2 linked regions of the Canis lupus familiaris genome follow. The protein of the gene in region 1 interacts with the protein of each later gene in a pairwise test. Links are inferred from orthologs where the notes say so. Each region holds a gene or a part of one and is shown on either strand. Other genes may lie near its edges.

The links.
Region 2: the proteins of GAD1 (region 1) and HAAO interact in a two-hybrid assay, tested with the Homo sapiens proteins (4 studies listed by BioGRID and IntAct). The two-hybrid records come from large-scale screens. The link is inferred for Canis lupus familiaris from reciprocal best matches to the Homo sapiens genes GAD1 and HAAO.

The regions. Positions count from the first base shown.
Region 1 is NC_049257.1:15,670,964-15,674,925, reverse strand, and holds part of GAD1 (glutamate decarboxylase 1), read right to left. Parts: intron 1,112-3,962; coding exon 953-1,111; intron 1-952.
Region 2 is NC_049231.1:46,436,622-46,441,175, forward strand, and holds the start of HAAO (3-hydroxyanthranilate 3,4-dioxygenase), read right to left. Parts: upstream 3,207-4,554; 5' UTR 3,119-3,206; coding exon 3,039-3,118; intron 640-3,038; coding exon 561-639; intron 1-560. UniProt on the Homo sapiens protein: Catalyzes the oxidative ring opening of 3-hydroxyanthranilate to 2-amino-3-carboxymuconate semialdehyde, which spontaneously cyclizes to quinolinate.

The sequences.
Region 1 (3,962 bases):
TCAGGAGACCCCTGAAGTGTGGTCCTCCGTAGTGTCCTTAGAAAACAAGAGCTAGAAGATGGGGCTCAGAAAGGTGGGAGAGAGAACTCCCATATCCCTCCCTCATCCTTTGGGCTTGGACTTTGGGATGCCTGGGGGTGATTTTGGGTTCCAGCCCTCTGGTAGGCAGAGTCAGGCTGGGTCAGCCAGGGAGGAAAACTGTAGGGGGTCCCAACTGAAGTTGTCAGCCAGAGCTCAAGAGCAGATTGACTGTGTAGATTCCTTGGATTTACCTCTGAGGTTTAGTGAAGTCTTATTGACTGTTTGGGTCTGGCCTCTATGGCCCGTGGAGAGTTGATGGAAGGGAGTAGTGGGAGGTTTACCTTCAAGCTGTTCAGGAGAGACAGTACCTCGTGAGACCAGAGTTGTGGGGACAGCAATAATAGTGAAAGATCTCCAAAACGAAAATGAGTTTTAGAACAGTGCTTGATCACTAGGCCCAGCCACACAGTTTCCCAGAGTGATTTTGTCATTGTTGATGACCTTGGAGGATAAATGCTATTACGGGACTCACTGGATTGTCTTACGTGTAAAGATTCCCTCAGATTCTGAGAGTCTATGCAGCCATATATGTCCCTGCAAGTGTCTTTAGAATTGACTGTTTTTATTGACTGCTTTCATCTAGCTTCCAAAACGAAGTCCTGGGCAGTAGGGAAGGAGGGGGTATATTATATTTAAATCCTGGACACACAGTTTCATGACAGTTCAGAAAGTAATGATAGTTTTGATAAAAGAAGTAAAGTTTCAGGAAGAAATCAAGACACTCAAATGAGGAACCTACTGGATAGTACTAGCTGCGACAGGGGAGGGGAGGGAGGTGTGGGGAGGATAGGGAGCTGGGGAGGGGGCGTGGGGAGGGGAGGGGGGTGTGGGGACAGGAGTGGGGTGGCAAAGGTAGGCTGGCGGGGACTACCTCGAGCAAAGAGGTTGGAGAAATCAGTCTCTGTGCGCCGGAAACGGCCATCCCTGTCACTGTTTTCACAGGAAAGCAGGTTCTTGGAGGACTGCCTCTCCTTGAAGGCGCTCACAAGCCGGCTCTTCTCTTCCAGGCTGTTGGTCCTTTGCAAGAAGCCTGTAGCACAAGATGCTGGGTCAGAGGGGACGCACTGAATTCCTAGCCTCACAGGGTCAGCTGCCAGGCCAGGTCCACTCTCCCAGCAGGGCTCTTGCTTCTCCTGAGAAGCTGAGTCTCTGCATTTTATATATAAAGGCTTTGGCACTTCTGGCCTTCGGGCGGGGAAGGGGCAGTGCCAAGTGTCATCAGTGGCACAGACCCAGTCGTGCAAGAGAGGGAAACAGTAAGCAAAGCCCATTCTCCTCTCTGAACGTGACACTGAACTCAGAATTAAGTCAATTGGACAGCTTCCACTCCAGTAATCAGCCCCAGGATGGGGTTCTAAGGGGAAGGACACAATCCGAGAGGCTGCTGCTGGCACTGGGTATATGGGCTGTGCAACCAGAGGAGGGAGGGGGTGAGGACTGGCTGAGGGAGGGGGAGGCAGGGAGGACCAGCACTGAGGGCTAGGGAAGATGCTTTCCTCGGGCACCAGGTAATGCTAACGGGGTTGAATGTGTCATTTTTCTGACTCAAACCTGAAGAGCAGCTCTCTCCATACCACCTGCTGTCCTTGATAAAGGTATTGGGGAAAGAGCCAAGGAAGCCTAAAACCTTATGTGTGGCGACACTCACTTCTGTAAATACTTACTGAGCACCTATTGTGGAAAAGCACTTTGCCAAACATCGAGGACAGGGGACAGATAAAGGCAAATGAGACAGATCTCCTACCCTCCAGGAACTTAGAGTTTGGCAGATGAGGTGGTGACCAATGTTGTAATAAAGCTAGAAAGCCATCCCAGAGCTCCACAGAGCTGAACCCCGAGCCCAGGGCGGGATACAAGGCACCTCGCCTCTGCCCCTCAGGAGGAGTAGGAATCTCTCCTACCCGAGGTGAGCAGCGCCAACACCGCCAGTGGCAAACAGAGAAGCAGGTTGAGGCAAAAGGGCTAGAGACACCGCCACCTAGGAGCATACTCCTTAGTATCCACACCCCTCCCCTCCGGGGCTCAGGGCCTGCTGACCCCCTCCTTCCCTCAACCTCTCCTCCAGTTCTGCCTCAATCTTAGCCCAACAAGCCACACACTGAAAAGAAAAAGTCTGAAGCTTCTTAGTGACCCCACAGCTGTCTTTGTAGATACCAGAATCCTTGGGGGGTCATGCACATCACAAGACAGGAGTGGAGGAAGGTCCTGGGAGGTTGGAGGAGAGGCAAGTTGACCTGGGGGAAATTCAGCTTTGCTTCCCCAGGACTGCAATTCAGTGGCAAGGGGTGGAGGAAGGAGGGATGCAGGGGGAAGGCCGCAGTGATTGGAATCCTCCCACACGCAGGCACAGAGTCTATTTTTGGAGGGAAGAATAGCAAGGTAGAGTCACCAGGCCTTTTATTGTTGCCAGCATCTTACAAACTTATCCCTAAAGCCCCAAGGACATCAGGACGGGGGTAAGACACTATACCAGAGCTCCACACTGGATGGAAAGGTAGGGGTTGTATCCCTTCCCTCACCTCTCCCTCTACTTTCTGAATTTCCCATACAAACACCACGATTTGAAACCAGGAGCCAGAAGGATGTAGGAGCACCTGCCTCCTGAATTCCAAGACTGCTCCCCTGCTCCTGGAACAGTGAGCTATAGAATTCGCCAGGCTGAACAGACCAAATCCATGTGGCCTAATGGAGATGAGGTCCTGCCAGCTGAACTCCTACTCTCTCCGTCTCTCACCTCTGGTTGCTCGGACTCACTCCTTTGGGAAAGCCTTAAGTCTCTACCTTGAAAGCCCTCAGGGATGCCTTTCCTCTGGGCAGCGGCAGGACCTATGACCTGGATTTAGGCTTTGGAAACCATCTCCAAATCTGATATGGGCATTCCCAGAGGTGTCCTGATAGGATTGAGGGATGGTAATTAAGACACAACTTTAATTCTGCATCTCATCCCTGGACCGCACTTCCTGGAGCACACTAGGAATCAGTATTTGCGATAAATCCTATATTTATCTCTCGAATAGCATACTTACATCATACTATTGTGTTTAAAAGCATTAATTTGCTAATATAAACACCTAACGCATATTGTTATCAGAATAACAATTTCTTGGAAGATATTTGTTTTCTAAAATATTGGCAGTCTCAAAAAAGGTTAAAATGACTGAGGCCTTTCATGGCTCTGAGAGGCTCTGGGAAGAAATGTATGCTTCCCCAAGGATGACCAGGTGGTGGATGACATTGAAGTCAGTGCTTTGACAACTCCCCTGGCTAGCAAGGGGTCCTGGAAGCAGGGGTCCCCAAGACTGAAGCAGACCGTATTCCCTCTCGCTCTGCATACCACCAGTGAGGACCTAGCTTAAGCAGGAAGTGACCACCGAGCTCAACATTCCCAAGTGGCAAAAAGAAAAGCAGAAGTAAGCCGAAGCTGCACTTGACTTTGGTCAGCTTGTAGCACCCCCTGCTAGCTTTAGGGGCAGAACAGGAGGCAGACCGTGTCATGACTCCTCTGGGCAGTGGGGAGTTCCTGAGGCGGGTTCTTCACTCCTGCCCCTAAACTCAAAGGCCTAGGAGACCCATTGAGTGGGGAGGAGTGTAGAGAACTAGGGAGCACTTGGCCTGAGCGAGTTGCTACCAAATGTGCCTGTGAGCTGTGCATCACAGAAGGGCACACGGGGGGGTGGGGGGGGTGGGGGGGTGGGGGGGGTGGAGGCTGAAGCCCATTCCCCCTGGCTCTTGTTCAGCAAGCTGTAGAATGGAATTGCATCAACCTAGAGGAAGGAAGGAGCTTTCTCCCCTGATTTTTATGGGCTGAAAGTACTTTGCCAAATGTCCACCCCCCAACTTCTTTTTATTTCAAGAGAAGCTAGAAATTCAGAATATTTGAA
Region 2 (4,554 bases), on another chromosome or scaffold:
TGCCTTGGGGTAGGTAGATAGTACAGAAACACAGTTCACAATTCAAGGTACAAAAGGGTATTTAGCACAAATTCCCCCCACTCATCCTACTCCTCTGTCAAATAGTGTCTTGGGTCCTCTAGATACCGAGGGGGCCTCCCAGCCCCAACTCTTTCCAGAGAACTCATCTCCTGGGACCCGAGTGGAGCACCCAGGTCCCTGTCAGTATTTGGGTCTCATTTTGGAGGCCAATCTTACATGTTCAGATTTGAGGAGGAGGAGACCAGGGCACCGCATCTGGCACATGGATGGCCAGGGGGCGATGCCCAGCAGTGAGACCCTCCCTCTCAGACCTATAGAGCCAGGGCTCTTTCCTGGGGCTCCCCCAGCAGTGCTAGAGGGCGGAGCTGTCACTGTACGCCCACAACTTCCAGGCAGCAGTTTTGCCCTGGGATTTCAGTGGTGTCCCTTCATCCATCAGCCATTGGACCACCCCCTCTCCTGTCCACGGGCTCCAGCTCTTGCTTGGCAAGTGTCTCCTCCCCCAGGGCTCTTAAAGAAGTGGGAAGTACCAGGCTTACCTCCTCACCCTCCTCAATGTGGTAGTCCTTCCTGATGTTGGGGCCTCCAATGAACATGACTTTGAGTTGCTTCTGGTGCCTGCAATGAATGAGGGGGAAGAGGTCCCGAAGCAGCTCAGGGGACAGGACAGGAGGTGTCCAGGGGCCTGTGGGTGGCCTGGAAGGAAGCTGGGTACCCCTGGGAGAGGTGACAGGGCTGTTTCTGTGTTATTGTCCCTATAGGCTCTGACATTTGTCCCCCCCCATCTCAGTATAGCTGTGCGTATCTAAGACTCTGTGTGCGCGTGTGTGTGAGAGAGACTGTATGTATACCTGTGTCTTTCTGCATCTTGTCTCACTGTATTTGTGTGTGTGTCCCCAATATCCTCTAACCTAGTACAGAGGAGCAGTGTGGTGGTGGATCAACCCCTTCATCAGCCAGGATCCCTGGCCTCGTTCAAGATCTCTAATTACAGGCCAAGGAGTTTGATCTTGGCCTAAAGTGTGCCAGGGAGCCTAGGAAAGTTTTTACTGTTTTGTTTTATTTAAGTAATCTCTACACCCAATGTGGGGCTCGAACTCATGACCCCGAGATCAAGAGTTGCATGCGCTTTCAACTGAGCCAGCCAGGTGCCTCAGAAATTTTTTTTTTTAAGTCAACTTTACTGGGATATAATTTAGGCACGTACGGAAAGTTCTGGAATGAGCCCACTCAAGATCTACTTCAGCCAATCATCTAGAGTACCTCAGCCAGATCCTGTCCCTCCTCTGCTCAAACCGCTCCCCAGCAGTCTCATATGACTCCCCCAACCCCAAATTCATCTGTTGAAGTCCTATGCCCAGGACCTTAGAATGTGACCTTATTTGGAAATAGGATCACTGCAGATTTAACTGGTGAAGCCACAGTGAGGTCACACTGGAATTGGCTAGGCCTCTAGTCCTTATCGAAAGGGGAAATTTAGACACAGACACGCTGACAGGGAGAGTGCCCTGTGAAGATGAGGATGGAGATCGGGGTGCTGCAGCAGAGGCCAAGGATGGCCAAGACTGCCACCAAGCCACCAGGAGCCAGGAGAGGCCTGGGGCAGACTCTCCCTGACAGCCCTAGCCAACCCGGCGTGTGCATTTGGGGGCATGGCTCTGTTCCACCTGGTGGCCCATTGTGCCTGCCTGCCTCCACTCCTTGTCTGTTGTAAGTATTGGCTGCCTCCTCTCACCCGAACGTCAGTGCTACAAGGAAGTGACTGTCAGTTTGTTTTCTACTGCGTCTCCAGTGTCCAGAACAGTGCCTGGCAAGTACTGAGCTCAGGGAACACGTGCTGAAGGAATAAAGGCTGGGCCTGCATTTTGTGCCTGTTAATACTGGGGCTAGGCTGGAGGCCTGGGGCGGGGGCCTGGAGGCAGGGGCAACACCCAGGGTGAAGGTGACAAGGGTGGAACCAGAGTGGTATCTGGAGGGCTAGGGAGGAGCAAGGGGCACGAGACTCGGTTGGGGTGCCGTGGGGGACCGAGAACCAGGCTGCATAGGGATGAAGTGGAGGAAAGGGGTGAGGGCCCCAACAGTGGTAGAAGTCGCGAGGCCCCGGGGTGGGAGGGGGATGCTGGGTGTGAGCCCATGATAGTGCTGTGCTGCGCTGAGAGGGAGAGTGTGGACTTTGGAGTCAAGTTTTTCTAGGGGCTGGAATCTGGACCTGGCCCCTACTAGCTGAGGGACACTGGGGGAGTCACGTATTAGAATCCCACCTCACGGAGCTGGTGTGAGGACTAGGTGAGTGGTGAGAGCACCCGGCATGGCCTCTGTTTTGCCAAGGTGTGCAAATGCCGCTGTGTGGTTTGGGGTGCCACACCATTGGGAATGTTCGGCAGACACGGCAGTGTGAGCCTGGAGCTGGGGAGCACACCAGGCCCCGCCATAGGTGTGAGGGCAGGGGAGGGAGGTGAAGCGGCCACGGGGAAGGTCTGCTGGAGAAAGACTGCAGCTGAGCACCACCTGCCCTGCTGGGTGCTGTGGGCCGAGGTGAGCCCGCGCCTGCTGCGAGAGCATGCCCGCCTCCAGGGACAGGCCTGGGGAGAGCACGGGATGCAGATTCTCCCGCAGGAGCTGATCCTCTGACTTCACCCTCTGCCCGCAGGTTCTAGGGCAGTTCTGAGGCAATGGAAAAACCACCCTCCCCAAACTTCTGAGAGTCCCTGGGGGGTTGCAGAGCTATTTCTAAGCCCTGGGGACAGGGGCGGTGGCCTGCCATCTGCATCTCATCTACTCCCAGTCACCCAGCCATCATCCGGAAGCCAAGGTCACAATCCCCAGGGCAGAGTCGTCCGAAAGAGGAACAGATGAAGGTGGTGGAACCGGAACGGCCTGCCCTCCCCCTCCTCCGAAGGCACGAGAGGATGGTCGGCCCTTTCCGCGGGCTTGGGGGGCTGGAGGGTGAGGGCTGAGGGGTGCAGACGGAGGGGGGGGGCAGAGGGCCGGGGGCGGCCGGCGAGCCTGGGACTCACAGGAGCTTGTTGCAGACCGGGGGCAGGAAGGAGGCCCGGTTCTCCTCCACCCAAGTCTTCACCCTCACGGGACGCGCCATGGCAGCCCGGGAGCCGCGGCCGCAGCGGGTGCCCAGGCGGGTGTCGCAGGGGTGCGCTCCGCCCAGCCGCCCACTAGCCGCCCACTAGCCGCCCACTAGCCGCCCGGGGGCCGAAGGGCAGGGCGATTCCCCCTCCCCGGCCGCCCCCGTGACCTGGCGGGGGCCCTTCCCGGACTTCGGCCCCGGCCCGCCCGCCCCGCGCCCCCCCGGGGCCCCTGCCCAGCCTGGCGGCCTCCGCGCGAGGGAAGCGGGGCGCGGGGGGGGCGTGTCGGGGGGCCCTGCTTCCCGCCGGGCCGGGATCCCTGGATCGCGGTCGTGCGCGGTCCCCTGTCCCCAGGCTTAGCGCCCGGACCCCGCGGGGGCCCCGAAGACCGACCGTGGTGGGAGGAAGGCGGGTTTGGAGCCCCGAGCCCCCGGGACGGGAGCGCGGCCGGGATGGAAGCCTCGGCGTCCCCACCCGAGAACCCGGAATGTCTGCGCAGCCACGCCGGGGTTGCACAGCGGCCCCCACGGCCCCCACGGCCCCGACGGCCCCGACGGCGGCAGCCCCGTGCGCCCCGGGTCTGGGAGGAGCCGCGAGCCGGGAAGGCCGGGGACGGGACGGGGCGGGGCGGGGCGGGGCGCGGGGCCCGCGGACCCTCTCGGCTTCCCGGTGGCGGCACCCACGCGGCGCCGGCGCTGTCCGAGCTCCGGCGGGTCCTAGGGCGGGTCCTAGGGCGGGTCCACGTCACAGGACAACTCGGCGCGGGTCTCGCAGGTGCAGAACCGGGCGCCTCGGGGTGCGGGGTGGGCTGGGCGGACAAGCCTGCGCCCGCGATTGCAGCCCCGTGACCCCGGCCCCCGCCCCGGCCCCTGCCCTCGGGGGCGCGCTGTGAGGTCGGAGACCCAGAGAAGCGGGGAGGGAGCGGAGGAGGCGAAGACGGCCTGACACCTGCTTTCCTCGCAGGCTCCCGGGCTCAGGATTCTTAGGGAAAAGGTGCGCGTGTGTTAGAGGCGGGTGGGGCGGGGGAAGGAAAGCAGCCGGGCTCGGACGCCGGAATCCAGGCGCCGGAGTCTGGGAAGTGCGGCTCCTCGCGCTGCAGCCCTGCGGGCCCCCGCCCCGCCCCTGCCCCGCCCCTCCGACGCCTCCCGCGCAAACCCCAGCCCGGCGGGAGGGGAGAGGACCGCCACCCACCTGGGCTGGGAGGACCCTGCAGTCGCCTCTCCACGCCCACCGCCTTTCCCTCTTTGTCCGCCTTTACATCTTCTTTTTAGTTATTTTTTTTTCTTTTTAGTTATTCATTTAGAGCTTTTTTTTTTTTTTTCCTGAGCATTTCTTTCTCAAAAGTATTGCATATTGTTTGGCACCAAAACAACTCTAACGGTATTCTTTGTCTGTCCCCTGTAAGTAAGCCAGAGGAGACGTAAACAGTGACTCCTGAAGCAACAAGGACCCA